Schizosaccharomyces pombe: one gene and its partner. The protein of the gene in region 1 interacts with the protein of each later gene in a pairwise test. Each region holds a gene or a part of one and is shown in the gene's direction. Other genes may lie near its edges. The genes, in order: psm3 and mis4.

Region 1 (7,944 bases):
CTTCGGAATCTTGGATTTTCTTTTCTCAGCCTTATCTTCTTTGGTTTTTTTTTTCCGTGCCCTCTTCTCCTCCGGTGTCTCCTTTGCACGTCCGTTTCCTTTACCTTGTTTTGCAGATGATTTTGAATCCGAAGTCCGTTCTTCTTCATTTTCCATACTACTTATAGAATTTGCATCATCATCGCTCTCCGAAGTCTCATTTGGGAGGATTTGATCGTTTTGATTTTTTGTAGTGTCATTTAAATCCAATTTTTGAAAGTCTGTATTTAATAAGTGCTTATATACAAGGCTATTAACACCTCCGGCGTTTACGATTTCAGTATCTCGATCAATGTCGTATACCTCATCTAAAGTCCGAGGAACATAAGTTTTTAAGAATTCCTCTTCGTATTCTTCTGTAGTAGGTTCTTCCTCATAAATTGCATTTAACCGGGTTTTCATGGCTTCCTTTTCACAACTTCCTTCTTCAGTAATGAATTTAAATAATTGAGGTAAAGATAAGCAACCAGCATTCAAACGCCTAAAGAATGTAGAAATGTTTAAAATATCCATTCTTAAAAAATCGATGCTCTGCGGGTGGTCATGTTCAACCGATTGTGATACATCAATAAAATAAACTTTACCTTTATGATAAAGTAAATTATATTCTGACAAGTCAGCATGCACGAGATGACAAACATGAAACAAAATACGCATATTCCGTGCTACAAGCTGATATAATTTAGTAGCCTCACCAGGCGTCATATCTATATCCTTTAACTTGGGGTATGCCCATCCTTTCTTGTCCCCCAGAAACGACATAAGCAAAACGTGCTGCTTCAATAAGATTGGCTCTGGGCAAGGAATACCAGCAGCAGCCACACGCTTCAAGTTTCTTATTTCTTTTTCAGCCCATAAGCGTACCATTTTTCGGGGATTGCGCTTGTTATACCCATGACGAAAACGAAATTCTCCAGAAACATAGCGGTCACGATCCTTAAATACTAAGATTGAAGTCTTATAAATTTTTATAGCAAAATGTTTACCATCCTCGTTTGTTGCATGATACACATTTGCTTCCTTTCCCGTGCTTATACAACCATTAATTTCTGATATAGTTCCATTATTTATTAATTTTAATAAAATCATTCGAGTACGGGGATCCAGCACTTGTTCAGATGTAGCGCGGTCACTTTTATCCTTGATAGATGACTTGTCTTTATTTGTCAGTACTATTAAACATGAAAATGTAAAAGTGTGAAGGATCAAAAGACCTCGAGTTCTAAAACCTATGAGCAGTTAAACTATATTACACTTACCCTCTGCCTCAAACCTGTCATTTAATTTTATATTATTCACATAACGACTAAGCGTAGAAACGTGATCATTAACTGAATTGATCTTAGAAGAATTATTCCCAAAATTTTCCTGTCTAGCAGAATAATCTAGTAAAAATGTTATTAATGATCATGAAAAATGGTAACAAAAATTCATGCAAAGTGCTTTTGGCTATTCAGTATATGAACTTACTTGAAGAAGCTTGATTCCAGTCTATATCGTCTTCCCTAAAGTAATCATTGTCAGAGCCATCACTAAAGTCGCTATATTCTGATTCTTCTTCATTTGTCTGTGCATCGTTTTTTAACTCCTCAACCATCTTAAACTTTAAATAAATCAATAAAAGAATAATTTATTTAAAAATTTGACAAAGAACTGGATACAAATCCAAGTTTTTGTATTTTGTAGGTGGTAGTAAAAACTTTTTGTTGTAAATAAAACTGGTATATAAAAATGTAAGAAGTTAGCAAATTATGATTACCATAAGTTACAAGATGATTTTTGCAAACCAATGATTTTTTTTTTAATTTAGTGGATTATATTTTTTCCATTCTTCGATCAATAAAATATATATTACATTTCCAAAAGACATTTAATGTTAGTGTGAGCGGCTTTCCTCATTAAAGCTTGACAATAAAAAGTCAGATAGAAAAGAAACAATACATAAGCTCATATATGCATTTTTTTAAATTCATTACTGAAACGCTGACGCTCAAGAGCAGCTTGCTTATTTAACACTAATGCATACTTGGCATCTAAAAAATCACATACTCAATTAAGCTAGCGCGCTTTCTACCAATTTGATTGTGCATTCCCAGTAGTTTAATAAAGAAATATTATATTTGGAAATTGATGCGGCAGTAAAGAGAAAAGCAAACGATCTTCAGTTAATACAGTTTCATATAGAAAAAACATAACAAAATCAACATCAACAACTCAAAGAATTTCTCATCTTGGTTAGTATGAATGAATTATTATGTTGTAGATTCTTAGAACTCTGTTACCACAAAGATTGATACTTACACGCCATAAAGAAGACACGCGACGCGTAAATACTTTAACCCAAACCAACCACAAATCTATGTATATCACAAAAGTAAGTAAAGCATTATAGAACCCCAGTTAACTGATTTATTAAGATTGTTATTCAAGGGTTTAAATCTTATAAAGATTATACTGTAATAGAGCCTTTAAGCCCTCACCACAATGTAATTGTGGGACGAAATGGATCTGGTAAAAGCAATTTTTTTGCTGCAATTCGATTCGTATTAAGTGATGCGTATACACATTTAAGCCGTGAAGAAAGACAAGCTTTGCTGCATGAAGGCCCTGGTGCAACTGTCATGAGCGCATACGTTGAAGTTACGTTCGCTAATGCTGATAATCGATTTCCCACCGGTAAAAGCGAAGTTGTCTTGCGTCGTACAATTGGATTGAAAAAAGACGAATACTCTTTGGATAAGAAAACTGTAAGCAAGACAGAGGTTATTAATCTTCTCGAGTCTGCTGGGTTTTCAAGATCCAATCCTTACTACATTGTTCCTCAAGGAAGGGTCACATCCCTAACCAATGCAAAGGATTCAGAGCGTTTAGAACTTTTAAAAGAGGTTGCAGGTACTCAAATTTATGAGAACAGAAGAGCTGAATCCAATAAAATTATGGACGAGACAATTCAAAAATCGGAGAAAATTGATGAACTTTTGCAATACATTGAAGAACGGTTGCGTGAGTTAGAAGAGGAGAAAAACGATCTTGCAGTTTATCACAAAAAAGACAACGAAAGAAGATGCTTGGAATATGCTATTTATTCTCGCGAGCATGATGAGATTAACTCCGTATTGGATGCCTTAGAACAAGACCGGATAGCTGCACTTGAGCGTAATGATGATGATTCGGGTGCTTTCATTCAAAGAGAGGAACGCATTGAACGAATTAAGGCTGAAATTACAGAGCTCAACCACTCGCTTGAGCTTTTACGTGTTGAAAAACAGCAAAACGATGAGGATTATACCAATATTATGAAAAGTAAAGTCGCATTGGAATTACAGTCTTCTCAATTATCACGTCAAATTGAATTTTCGAAGAAAGATGAGAGCTCAAAGCTCAACATACTTTCTGAATTAGAGTCAAAAATCTCTGAGAAAGAAAATGAGCTTTCAGAAATTCTTCCAAAGTATAACGCTATAGTATCTGAAGCTGATGATCTTAATAAAAGAATCATGCTGCTCAAAAATCAGAAGCAATCACTTTTGGACAAGCAATCGAGGACTTCTCAATTCACTACCAAAAAAGAACGTGATGAATGGATCAGAAATCAGCTCTTACAGATCAACCGTAACATTAATTCTACAAAGGAGAACAGTGATTACTTGAAGACTGAGTATGACGAAATGGAAAATGAACTCAAAGCAAAATTATCTCGTAAAAAGGAAATTGAAATTTCCCTTGAATCTCAAGGTGATCGAATGTCGCAACTACTTGCTAACATTACTTCAATTAATGAAAGGAAAGAAAATTTGACGGACAAAAGGAAATCTCTGTGGAGAGAAGAAGCCAAACTTAAGTCGTCTATCGAAAATGTTAAGGACGATCTTTCTCGTTCTGAGAAGGCTTTGGGGACTACAATGGATCGGAATACAAGTAATGGTATTAGAGCTGTCAAAGACATTGCTGAACGTCTGAAACTCGAAGGTTACTATGGTCCACTTTGTGAGCTTTTCAAGGTTGATAACCGTTTCAAGGTCGCTGTTGAGGCTACTGCTGGGAACAGTCTATTTCATATCGTGGTAGATAACGATGAAACCGCAACTCAAATTCTTGACGTTATATATAAAGAAAATGCCGGTAGAGTTACGTTCATGCCTTTGAACAAGCTTCGTCCAAAGGCGGTTACTTATCCTGATGCCAGTGATGCTTTACCTTTAATTCAATATTTAGAGTTCGATCCCAAGTTTGATGCTGCGATTAAACAAGTTTTTTCGAAAACCATTGTTTGTCCATCGATTGAGACCGCCTCCCAGTATGCTCGATCTCATCAATTAAACGGTATTACTTTAAGTGGTGATCGATCTGACAAAAAAGGTGCATTAACTGCCGGGTATCGTGATTATAGAAATTCCAGGCTGGATGCTATCAAAAACGTTAAAACATACCAGATCAAATTCTCGGATTTACAAGAAAGTTTGGAGAAATGTCGTTCCGAAATTGAATCTTTTGACCAAAAAATTACTGCATGCTTAGATGATTTGCAAAAGGCTCAACTAAGTTTAAAGCAATTTGAAAGAGATCATATTCCTCTTAAAGATGAACTCGTAACTATTACTGGAGAAACAACAGATCTTCAAGAATCAATGCATCATAAAAGTCGTATGCTTGAGCTTGTTGTTTTGGAACTACATACACTTGAACAACAAGCTAATGACTTGAAATCTGAATTAAGTTCAGAAATGGATGAACTTGATCCCAAAGATGTGGAAGCACTAAAGTCTTTGAGTGGTCAAATTGAAAATCTCTCTCATGAGTTTGATGCCATCATTAAAGAACGAGCACATATAGAAGCAAGAAAGACGGCTCTTGAATATGAATTAAATACAAACTTATATTTAAGAAGGAATCCATTGAAAGCTGAAATTGGTTCTGATAACAGAATAGACGAATCAGAATTGAACAGCGTAAAGAGATCTCTACTTAAGTATGAAAACAAATTGCAAATTATTAAATCTTCATCTTCTGGGTTGGAGGAACAAATGCAAAGAATCAATTCTGAAATAAGCGATAAACGAAATGAATTGGAATCGCTAGAAGAATTGCAGCACGAAGTGGCTACCCGAATTGAACAAGATGCAAAAATTAACGAAAGAAACGCAGCAAAGAGAAGTTTGCTTCTCGCACGGAAAAAAGAATGTAACGAGAAAATTAAATCATTGGGGGTTTTGCCGGAAGAAGCATTTATTAAATATGTTTCAACTAGCTCAAATGCTATTGTGAAGAAACTTCATAAAATCAACGAAGCCCTTAAAGATTATGGAAGCGTTAATAAGAAAGCATATGAGCAATTTAATAATTTTACTAAACAACGCGATTCATTGTTGGCTAGGAGAGAAGAGTTGCGTCGTTCTCAGGAGTCAATTAGTGAGCTTACGACAGTACTTGACCAAAGAAAAGATGAAGCAATTGAGCGTACCTTTAAACAAGTTGCTAAAAGCTTTTCTGAAATATTCGTTAAACTTGTTCCGGCAGGTAGAGGTGAATTGGTTATGAATAGAAGAAGTGAATTGAGTCAAAGCATCGAACAAGACATCTCCATGGACATTGATACGCCATCCCAGAAAAGCTCGATCGACAATTATACAGGTATCAGCATAAGAGTTTCTTTTAACAGTAAGGATGATGAACAACTGAATATTAATCAATTGAGTGGCGGTCAGAAGTCACTTTGTGCTTTAACTTTAATTTTTGCTATCCAACGCTGTGATCCTGCGCCTTTTAATATACTCGATGAATGTGATGCTAATTTAGATGCACAATATCGCTCGGCCATTGCAGCGATGGTCAAAGAGATGTCAAAAACTAGTCAATTTATTTGCACTACTTTTCGGCCTGAGATGGTGAAAGTTGCGGACAATTTTTACGGAGTAATGTTTAATCACAAAGTTTCAACAGTTGAGTCGATTTCTAAGGAGGAGGCTATGGCATTCGTTGAAGGATAAAATGGTTATGGTTTGTTAATTTAAGTTCGCATTTTTCTTTTTAATTTCTTTGCGTGGACAAACCGATCTTTTTGCTATTAGTCATTCTTTCATTAATATCTCTGTTATTTAATTTTATCATACTTAATTTATAATTTTTATATTCATGATGCAATTGCGCTTGAATCAATCAGTGCGTATTACTACCAGAGTTGATACTTTCACATATAGTTTTTTTAAAGTTCTAATCCCAATGGAGAGTCATTTTAATAACTTTTTCCAGATTTCTATTTGTATTCAAAAAATCGAAAGCATGTCGTAGCGTTAAGACTTGTATAAATTCGCTATTTTAGACCTCCAGTCAGTGCTCTTAATTCGCGACAGTACTTACTACATTGTGCGAACAAGATCAAAGGCAGAGCATCTATATCCATGGAAAACCCTCCATACCATGTATCTATTTCCAAATCGGAAGGTGAATATTTTGAAGCTTGATTGATTTTTTCATTTACTAATGAATACTCAGAAATTAAATATCGCCAAAAGTGCAAGGATTTAAAGGCTAGAATTCAGGAGATCCAAAAAGGAAATCAGGAGTTATTAAGCAAATATGAGGTTATTCGAAGAGCTGTCAAGCGTGGCCGATTAGAAAGAGCTATCTTAATGGAACAGTTGGAATTGCAAAGTGAAGCAAAATCTCGCGAATTTGGACAGCGCTCTGAGCCATCTCCTCCTGTAAGTGTTTTTATAGAGTGAATTTATTGTAATACTTGTACTAATCATATGTAGCCTCCTCCCGAAGGTATTAAAATCAAAATATCAACGAAAGGCGCTGGAAACCCGTCTGCCAAGAAGTTAAAGATATCTACAGAAGAAACATCTGATACAAACGTAGCATTAAACAACACGTCGGAAATATCTCATAAATCATCAAATAATTCCCAGCCTAAAGATGCATCCGTCAATGACACAGATGCAGACTTTGAGCAGCAAAATCAAGTTGTTCAATCAAAAGATGAAAAAATTACGAATACTGATCCAATACCTTCTCCTATTATTACAAATCTTAAAACAGAAAGCTCAAAATCATCTGGAGCTAAAAAAGCTACTTCTAATGCCAAAATTACAGACACAATGTTATTCAACCATTTTTCGTCTATTCAAAAACCAAAATTAAAGGCCGAAGGCTCTACCTTGAAGGGACAAGCTTTGAAGAAAACTCTTGAAGATACATGGAATAATTTGACCGAAGAAGAGAAGAAACCTTATCATGAAGGATTGCTTGCAGCGCGTGAGAAGGCCAGAGAAGCAAGACGTCGACGAAGTGCGCAAAATTCAGCAAAACTAGAGAAAGAGAAAGCTAAAGAAAAGCAAAAGGATAAAGATCAAGAACAAGACACTGTTAGTGATAAAAATCAGATAGATGAGATAGAAAAAGGGCAGAAGGAAGTAGATGAAGAACCTGTTTCTGAACCCACCACTTCGCCTATTTTACCTCCAAAAAATCAAGAGCCAATTCGTATGGGAGGATTCACCGTTGTTAATAGATCCTCTAATGCTTAAAAAGAGCTTTCTGATGCAGGCATCAGATCAATGAGGCAATGCTTAAACTTTGTGTCTCAATATTAAAGGTTGGATTAGAAACTAATAGTTTGTCCACAATATATTTTCCTCCTCCTTGCCATTTGCAAAACTTTTTCAAGGTTCCGTTTTCTCTTCACATTATTTACTACCATTTATTCTTTTTTTTTGACTTAAAGTCATAAGATTATCAAAGCAAAAATTTTGAAAGACAATTAAGCGAATGTGTGATTTGAAAGTGGAATTAAGGCAATTACCAGCTGGTTTGTGATTAAACAATGACAACACGAGTTCGATTAATAAGTGTTTAATTTTTTTTTCTTTTTTTTCCAACTTTTTTTTGAAATACTGATTTGGA
Region 2 (8,982 bases), 830 kb from region 1:
AAATCAGCTGTTGAAATTAGAAAGGCGCGTGAGCTCAAAGAGAAACGACTTGCCAAAAACAATCGGCCGTCAAAAAAGCATCGATAATTTATATTTTTGGGTAACTAAATGCATGAATTTTTGCATCGGCGTTAAAAAATTTTAGTTTAGGTTTATTTACAACTGGGTAAATTATAAAATACTATTGTTAATATTTATTACTTGTTCTTATTGAACTAATGAAAGAAGGGGTAGGTTTTAAAGTAAACATTACAAATGCGCGTATATGCATACGTAGAAAGTACAATAACATCAGATTCAATGCGTCATTGAGTTTTCCATTTTTGCAATATAATTTCGCACTGATGGAAACGAATGTGCATACTTTTCGGGTAAGCTTTGAACACATTTTTTTAAAGATGTCGCCATTAATTTACTAGCTGGAATGGGGGGTGACTGGCTAACCATATCCTCAAAAATGTTGGTAAGTACATAATTTATGACACGCTCATTTTTACTTTCGAAGGCCAAAAGGTATACGTGATTGTATAAACGTTCATTGAAAACAACACCAGCCTTTCTAAGATTATCCCAACGACGCCAAACTTCGCTCCAACGATTGCTTTTTGCCAATATAAATTGCATGAGTAGAAACGTGTCAATAGTCATGGGTATTCCATAACGGTTCATAATCCTTTCCAAAAGAAATATGCGGTTGTCGAGAAAGAAGTTTGACTCCCCTTTAACCATACAAGAGCATATCATAAATTTTAAAAAAAGTAGTTTTAGTGAAAATGAATCGATGGTTTTTAGATCGACTAAAGATTTATACATTAGTGAAAGATACAACATCCGCTCACTAACCAAATTTTTAGAGTGTTTAGAAGCCATACTCAACTTTGTTGGAGACAAAGCTATAGTACTGAAAAGCGTATTGATATCCTTTGTAGTCAGTTGCAAAGAAGAATCTTTTCGAAGTCGCTCAAAAATTGAAAGAGTAAAATCCAAAGAAAAATTATTAGGATTTTGGAGATGCATTTTCTTATATTTTTCCAAAGTACTCGTCAGATTTTGTGAATTGACGTTTAACAAGATATCCTGGGTATCGCAATAAAGGGATGCGGCACTTTTTAAAGAAAAGTTACAAGTATGGAAACTTCTCCGAAATACGTTCGAGTGGTTATTAATAAAATTTGGAGGTAAAGAATTATCAGGTGTAGATTTACTAGTGAGTGAGACCCTAGATTGTTTGCCATGTTCGAGATCAGAATACAAAGTTTCATCCTTAACATGTTCAATATTGTCCAGTTTATAGTATTCCCTAAAATTTTTTGTAATTACATGAATGCTTATGCCGAAGTTTTCGATACTGAGACATGTCCAATTATTTTCAGACGTGTTTAATTGTCGGTTTGACAAATTGGAACGTTTCCTCATTCTCCGTTCTAAAATTTTTCTCCGAGATGCACTAGTAAGGCCATCTACGTTCACCGGTCCAACGTTTTTTTGTTTTAAAAGGCGAAGTAAGCCATTAGTAGCGGATACAACTTCAGATCCACAGTTGCAAGAAGCTAGTAAAATAAGATCTGAATCACACCAAAAAGAATCGGCGGGTGAGTTAACAAAACTGAGATCAGTGGCATAATACTTCTTTTTAAGAAGGTTTAACACATCAGCTAAAAAGTTTGGAGCACCTTTTGGAATAGGTGGCAGCGCAACCGCATCGAAATGCGCTTTTTTAGGAAATAGATTATGTTTTTCATCCACATACCATGGTTTTTTGCTTGAGACTTCCTCTGGTTGCGAATTAGCGTCATTACTTGAATTATCAGGAACTAAATTTTCAGGAAACTTTTGAGAAGCGAAAGGTCGTTTGTCAAATTTGCTTCGAAAAAAGGAAACACATAGTTTGTTGAAACGTAGATAATTAAAGCGATATGTGGGCATTTTTTAATAAAATATGAAATCTCAGCACAGTCATTAAAAATATAAGAATTAATATAATTGAAGTGTTACCTTATAAAGCCGAAAAAAGAATTTCTCAATGCTGTTCTATCACAGTATAACATGAAGACATTGTCTTCTGTTTGAATAGTAATAGATAAAACTTAGATTAAAGCAACAAAAATATTTAGTATGTTTTAAAACAAGACCGCAAATTATTAGGAGAAAACCAAATATTTAATGACCTTGGCACGTTTTCCTAACCAAGAGACCGATTCTAAATAGTGTTCCACTGTAGAAATACGTAATCACCAATATCCGAAATGTACGAACGTTTCTTATGTCAGCAATACTACATTACGCTATGATACACTACGTTGCGTATCACTATATGTCACATGTTCTAATTATATATCGTACCATTTATGATACGATATGGAAATTAATCTTAATGATAATCTATTAAGATCTATATTATCTGAATACTATAAATAGAGCTACTGCTGAACTCGTTCCTCAGTTCAGTTATGAGCTATATTAGTGATAGGTAACATTATAACCCAGTTAATACAATACCTATACTCAGTTGCTACTTATACAACCTGTGTATTGTAATATAATAGATCACAAGGAAAACTCACCGCAGTTCTACGTATCCTTAAATCAGATACCAAACTGCGTAGCTTACATCTTAATTGCATTTTCCCGTTTCGGTCTATTGCCTTAAACTTGTTTACGCTTTATATATACCGACGTTTCTTTGTTTTTAGATGAATGAATTTAATGATAAATACTTCCCTTTCTTAGCTTTGCAATGTTTTGATGCTTTTCGAGATGACACCTGAAACCTTTAAAAAAGTTAACTCCTCTAATCGAATTATTAAAGGGCTTCAATACACACCATTAGCATCATCAATCCCATTGGAAAATGGTATGCATACAGTTTGAACGCGTCTATTAATTTACATAGGTTTACAAAACGTATTATATCCATCTTCTAAATTTCAAAATGAGCCATTGCAACTTAACTCCGAAGAATCAAGTATTATGCAAAGATATGTGGATATGCTAAATCCTGGCGCAACATTCGTTAACGATTCTGAAACCTTTAATTTTTATAAAAATGCTCTTAGCGCTATGATAACGGAACCTGCAATGCCCGCAATGTAAGTTAAATTTTTTGAGGTTTTTTATCTGACAAATATAAAGGAGGGTGAATGCCAGTCCGGTCCTAGACCAAAAGGTGTGTAACAGTGACTCGTTAAGTGAATTAAATGATTTTACAAAATCTCTGATTCAGCCAAGTATGTTGATGTGTGAACCCAAGGAGAAACCTGATGCTTCTTCTATAAATACAAACCGTTCATCTTCCGACAATGGCTTCTTAACTCCGTCTTCAAGTCCTCGAAGTCCATCATGTTCTCGCGTATTTAACGCTGTTCAATTATGTAGCCCTAAAAAATCTAAAGATGATATTACTACCCCAAAAAAGCGACTTATGGAAGACACTTATTCGCCTCGTGAATCTCCCTCAAAGATCCAGCGGTTGCAGGACGTTTTGTTAAAGCAGTTGCAAGATACCAGATTACTAATTTCTCAAGTTATAGAAGCTGAGAATTCGGAAGATTTTTCATCGAATTCTCTCTTTATTAAACGAGAAGACGATGATGGAAAACACATTTCATCGCACGCAATTGAAAAGCTATATATGGCATTAACCAAGCTTAGTCGTTTGGGAGCTTGTGACAAATTGCTGGAAGAAGGGAGTATAATACTTGTAAAACAAATCCTTGAGAAAGAGTTAAAAGAGCTTCCTGTCGCTTGTTACAGTATAATTAATCTTCATGACAGCCTCACACAATTTCCGAATTTAGACTTTATTTTAAAGACCACTGCTCTTGTTCTTTTTATAATATTTCTGGTCCCCTCCTTTAAAAAGCTTCAAAATGAAGAATCAATTCTTCATTTACTTAATATCTTACATTCCATATTTGAGTACACAGTTCCTGAAGCGATTGATAACATCGTTCAATCAAAAACTTCCGATGCTAGGACTTCTGAAATTCAACATCTATCAGTTTTGTTACAAAAAGTCGCAAATGTATTAAACATCTTATCTAAAGTTGCCCATGAAATTCCCTTGTCGGAAGCTGTGGTCATACGCATTGTATATTTATTTCCCAAAGTCTCTACACTCGACAATTCCTTCAAAACTAAACTTCCTAACTGTAACAGCTCATCCTTCGATTTTCTTAAAGCTCCTTTATTTCAAACGTTACAATATTTATTTCGTCTTTATCCTTATCAGCGAGATTTTATCATTGAAGAATCACTTACAAATTTTTCTCACTTGCCCACTGCTCGTTCGGTCTCAAGGACCTATAGACTCTCTAACGGTAAATCCATACAATACTATTCAACCCTATTTGTACGTTTAATTCAGTCATGCTCCATTCAAAACTTATTCGACTCAGAAATTGTACAATCGGAGAGCAAATCCACTGAAGCTTTACACTCAGGTAACTTAACAGAACATCTGAAAACAGTATGTAATGAACACTAAATAAAAATCAATTTCTAACGTGTAGGTCGAATCAATACTATCCAAGTCTCGACATGAAGAATACCGGATAGCTAATCATATTGTTGCTTATTTGCTTAGTCGTTCTTTAAAACAGAATAAAACGGAGAGTGACAACTCATTTGCAATTTTAACCAAAATCCTTTTAGAAGATTTATTAAACATGCTTTCTTTGCCTGAATGGTGCGGAACCGAAACAATTATTCGGCAATTTGCAATGAATTTAGTTATGACTGTGACTAACGACAAACAAGCAGTTTCTTCAAAGAATGCTGCGCTGGATCTTATAAGTCTCATCGTTAACAAGGTTTTGGCATTGTTTGATCTTTCCCTTTTCGAGAAGCACAATATCCCAGCTCCTACGAATTTCAATGATATAATATCGTTCATTCCCTCAATTACTAGATTAAATGAACTTTCTCAAGTTAGCTTTAACCATTTTTACTTTTTATGCAAAGGTGACATATCTCTGGAAGTAAGTGAAAGTTAATTGCTTGTTTATTATATACTAACTTACAGAACATACTCCCTTATAACTACAATAAATGGTTTTCATTTCTCTTACAGCTTAGAAAAGTATGCAATGACTCCGAAGCTTTAAAAATTATTGATAATTGTATCGATAAGAATATGCAAAAGTCTCAAGAGGGGTTTCAAGGTCCTTCACCATTTAAAGCAGATGAAAATGACGAAGATATTTTCATTATATCCCTTTATCATTCTTCTTTGTTTTTAAATTTAAAGTTTTTTGTCTCGCTCATTATAGGCTTTCTCGATAGTCCTCAAGCTAGTCTTCGAACTAAATGCCTTCGAATCATCAATCAAATGAAAACTATACCTTCTATATTAAGAACACATCCAGAAGTTTTGGCTCAGATAATATCAAAATCGAATGATCAGTCTGCGATAGTTCGAGATACTGTGTTAGACTTACTTGGCACATATATCATGGCATATCGGGAGACAATTCCTCAAATATATGGTTGTATAATTTCTGGAATTTCGGATCCTTCAACAATCGTTCGTAAACGCGCTATAAAGCAACTATGTGAGGTTTATGAAGCTACCGAAGATTTAAATATCCGTGTTGACATAGCTTCAAAACTTTTAACCCGGAGTAATGATGAAGAGGAAACAATCAGTGAATTAAGCCTTGAGGTTTTAGAAAAACTTTGGTTTTCACCCGCAAGCAATGAATTAGATTGTCAAAAAGGCTATGAGCAATTAACTTTCTTAGAAAAGCAGAAGTTAAGAGTTCAGTATTTTCCTATTTTAAAACTATGTGCTGAACCATCAACCGAAAGACACGTCCTGTTGGTAACGTCTCTGAAAACCATGTTGACTTCTAAGGAAGAGATCAATTTGAGTACACTACACACTCAAATTCGACTTCTTCTCTCTTGTCTTTTCAATCAGCTAATAGAAGTTGTAACCGAAGATCAAGTTGATGAATCAACAAAGGGAATTTTATACGAAATAATGAGTACATTGTTTGTTTTTTCACGCGCTTTTCCCTTCCTCTTTGACTTGTCTTATCTACACCTCTTAAAACCCTATTTACGATCTGCTTCAACTATTGAAGAGCAACGTTTTCTTTACTATGTAGTAGCTATTTTTAGACAGGTTTTACCATTTCAAAAAGAAATTTCTGAAAGCTTCCTACGGAGCCTTGAATCTGTGTTACTGCAAAGGCTTACTAAAGCCGGTACTGCAACGTTAATGGAAATAGTTCCTTGTCTTTGCAGCCTATTTACAAGACTTAATGATTATGAAAGGTTAAAGAAAATTGTGGTTTCGTGTCTTAAATCTTTAGAGGAGGCACGACACTCAGAAAACAATTTTCAAAAAATGGTTCGCTTAATAGACCTCATTGGGCTTTTTTCTAGATATGGGGATCTCAATAGAATAAATGATGATTGGAAACATTCACTTGATTTTATTAGTCCTGAGTGTGATGATGCTTACGTTATACTATTAGGTTATTTTCAGAAACTTCTAAAAGATGCGAAAGGTCAGCTGAGAATTCACATAATTGATAACATGAGCAGAATATGTTTAAGAGAAACATCTTTGTTTATATCTCCTCTTATGTTATCAACTTTGGATATGATAATTGCGGAAAATAATGTTAACGAAGTATCTGTTTTGTTTAAATCTTTTCTTGAGCTTTTGGCCGCGGATGAGGATCTTATCTTTGAAGCAGATCAAAAGCTAAGTTTAAAGGGTAAGCAAAACGTTCAGTCCAACAAATCAGTTGATCGAGATATGCTTAAAGGAACTAAGGATAAACAATGGATTGAAGGGTATGTATTTTATAAACAAACTATCACTAATTTAATGCAGAGTCAGTGCATCTTTAATGCAGCATTTCCTTCCCTGTATTCTTGACTCTTGCTTTTCAAAAAATTTAAGGTATTCAATGCTCGGAATTGAAATTCTCAAATGTATTATTCATCAAGGACTAGTAAACCCACGCATGGTATGCCACTTTTTACTTTTTGATTACTAATTAAATTAGTGTTTCTCAACCATAATAGCACTCGAATCCAATGCAATTAAAGAAACCAGAGAAGTAGCAATTTTGCTTCACACTGAATTGCACCGAAGACATGAATCTTTGATAGATGGCTTATATGCTCAATCTGCAGATTTAATATTTTCCCTTCAAAAAACGGAGGAATATCAAACATTTAAGTTAGGCGAATTTTCGCCGTTCCAAAGTGCCTATACCATTGTCTCCGCTGATAAAAGTTCAAAATCTAGGAAAAAATTAATAATGCAAATATTAAAACCTCTTAAACTCGACGGGATTGATTTACCCAGCTTTACAGAAGAAAAAGTTTCATTTGTAAGCTTTTGCTGTGTATGTCTGGCAGGAATTCCATACGTGTCAATAGAGGAACCGTTAATGATCATTTCAACAGTTGATTCGGTGCTCGCGACGATAGGCCCTACTATTACTGGGTGGATGAAAAAACTAGATCATGAACGTTTTAAAATCCTTGCAGGTATCAACTTGTGCAATTTGATATATCTTAAGAGATATATAAAATACGCATTTTCAATTTCAGACTCATCTCGACCTATACGTGAGAAAAAGCCTCTAACTCTTTTGAATAGAGGTTATGTGGATTTAATTACTTCTGATGCTAAGCCAGATATTGTTTCTAAGTTGGTAAGTTAAAGTTCCTTAACCAAATTGCTGACTGTTTTAGGTGATAAAATTGTTTGAAGAAGAAAATATCCTTTCTGGCGAGGATCAAGTTGAAGGGGAACAGCTTACAGTTGTCTAAATGAAAAAAGGGATTAAAAAAAAAATCAAAAAGCTCTCAAGCAGTATATTTCAAAAATATTTATTTTATATGGGTTATCAATATTTTTTTATGAAAAAACAGGTTATCCAATTTGATTTTTACTCACAATAATAGGCAGCAACATTTAAAAGTTCTGAACCATGAATACAACTCGCTCCAAATTTCATTTATGCATTATTTAATACCAATAAGACATTCTTTTCATTTATTGTTTAAATAAGTAACAAGTAAACAGCTTGAGATCCTTTTAATTAGATGTTAAGACATAACTGTTAAATGACACTGCTAGTTCTTTAACTATTAATAATAAGAAACAATCATTTTTAGAATAGTAAAGGAACTTGTATCGTCCCAAATTTTTATTTTTTGAATGTAATATTCAAATCAGGATATTTATATGTTGTCAGAGTATTGAATTTTCAAAGTACATGAGTAAGCACGAAGAGATAAACGTGCTACTACGATTACACTACAACGGCGGTAACCTTTAAAAAAAAAAGAAAAAAAGCTATTTCTAAAACACAGACATTTAAACGATTGAGTGAATGATTTCGCCTATAGTTTTCCATTGGCATCTCGTTAGCGTACTAAACGTCTCAGCTCAGCACAACACTTTACCTTTACCAAACCACCATCAAAAGCCATGGAATCACTACTGGCAGTTCAGGGTCAGGATTTTGTACTCACTGCTTCATCATCATCAGCAGTTCGTGGAATTACTGTTTTGAAACCTGACGATGACAAAAGTCAGATTTTAAATTCGCATAATCTTATGTTATACTGTGGTGAAGCTGGCGATACTACTAATTTTGCTGAATACATTGCAGCAAATATATCTCTTTACACTTTAAGACATAATTTAAATTTAAGCCCTGAAGCTACCGCTTCCTTTACGAGAAAGCAACTTGCTACTTCACTTCGTTCGAGAAAACCATATCAAGTCAATATTTTATTAGCTGGTTATGAAACGAATTTAGGAAAGCCTGAGCTTTTTTGGCTAGATTATTTAGCCACTTGTGTTCGTGTACCTTATGCCTGCCAAGGATACAGTTCTTTTTATTGTTTGTCTATCTTTGATCGATATTACAAACCAGACCTCACCATTGATGAAGCCGTGCGAATTATGAAATTATGTTTTGATGAACTTAAAAAGCGTATGCCTAT

The links.
Region 2: the proteins of psm3 (region 1) and mis4 interact in binary tests that used the Schizosaccharomyces pombe proteins (3 or more experiments, as listed by UniProt).

Annotation. Positions count from the first base shown.
Region 1 is NC_003424.3:1,219,291-1,227,234, reverse strand, and holds psm3 (mitotic/meiotic cohesin complex ATPase subunit Psm3/Smc3), read left to right. Parts: upstream 1-2,376; 5' UTR 2,377-2,398; coding exon 2,399-2,413; exon of another isoform or gene 2,414-2,456; coding exon 2,457-6,026; 3' UTR 6,027-6,266; downstream 6,267-7,944. Other genes in the region: rio1 (RIO family protein kinase), read right to left, coding at 1-1,196, 1,299-1,424, 1,510-1,636; Ino80 complex HMG box subunit Nht1, read left to right, coding at 6,438-6,480, 6,532-6,740, 6,795-7,568.
Region 2 is NC_003424.3:390,653-399,634, reverse strand, and holds mis4 (adherin Mis4), read left to right. Parts: upstream 1-2,695; 5' UTR 2,696-2,745; coding exon 2,746-2,854; exon of another isoform or gene 2,855-2,893; coding exon 2,894-3,089; intron 3,090-3,132; coding exon 3,133-4,468; intron 4,469-4,511; coding exon 4,512-4,979; intron 4,980-5,023; coding exon 5,024-6,807; exon of another isoform or gene 6,808-6,847; coding exon 6,848-6,983; exon of another isoform or gene 6,984-7,022; coding exon 7,023-7,679; exon of another isoform or gene 7,680-7,719; coding exon 7,720-7,797; 3' UTR 7,798-8,007; downstream 8,008-8,982. Other genes in the region: ATP-dependent RNA helicase Dbp10, read left to right, coding at 1-87; ATP synthase complex assembly protein atp25, read right to left, coding at 298-1,926; pre1 (proteasome core particle subunit beta 4), read left to right, coding at 8,462-8,982. UniProt on the Schizosaccharomyces pombe protein: Plays a structural role in chromatin. Chromatid cohesion molecule required for equal sister chromatid separation in anaphase. May form a stable link between chromatids in S phase that is split rather than removed in anaphase.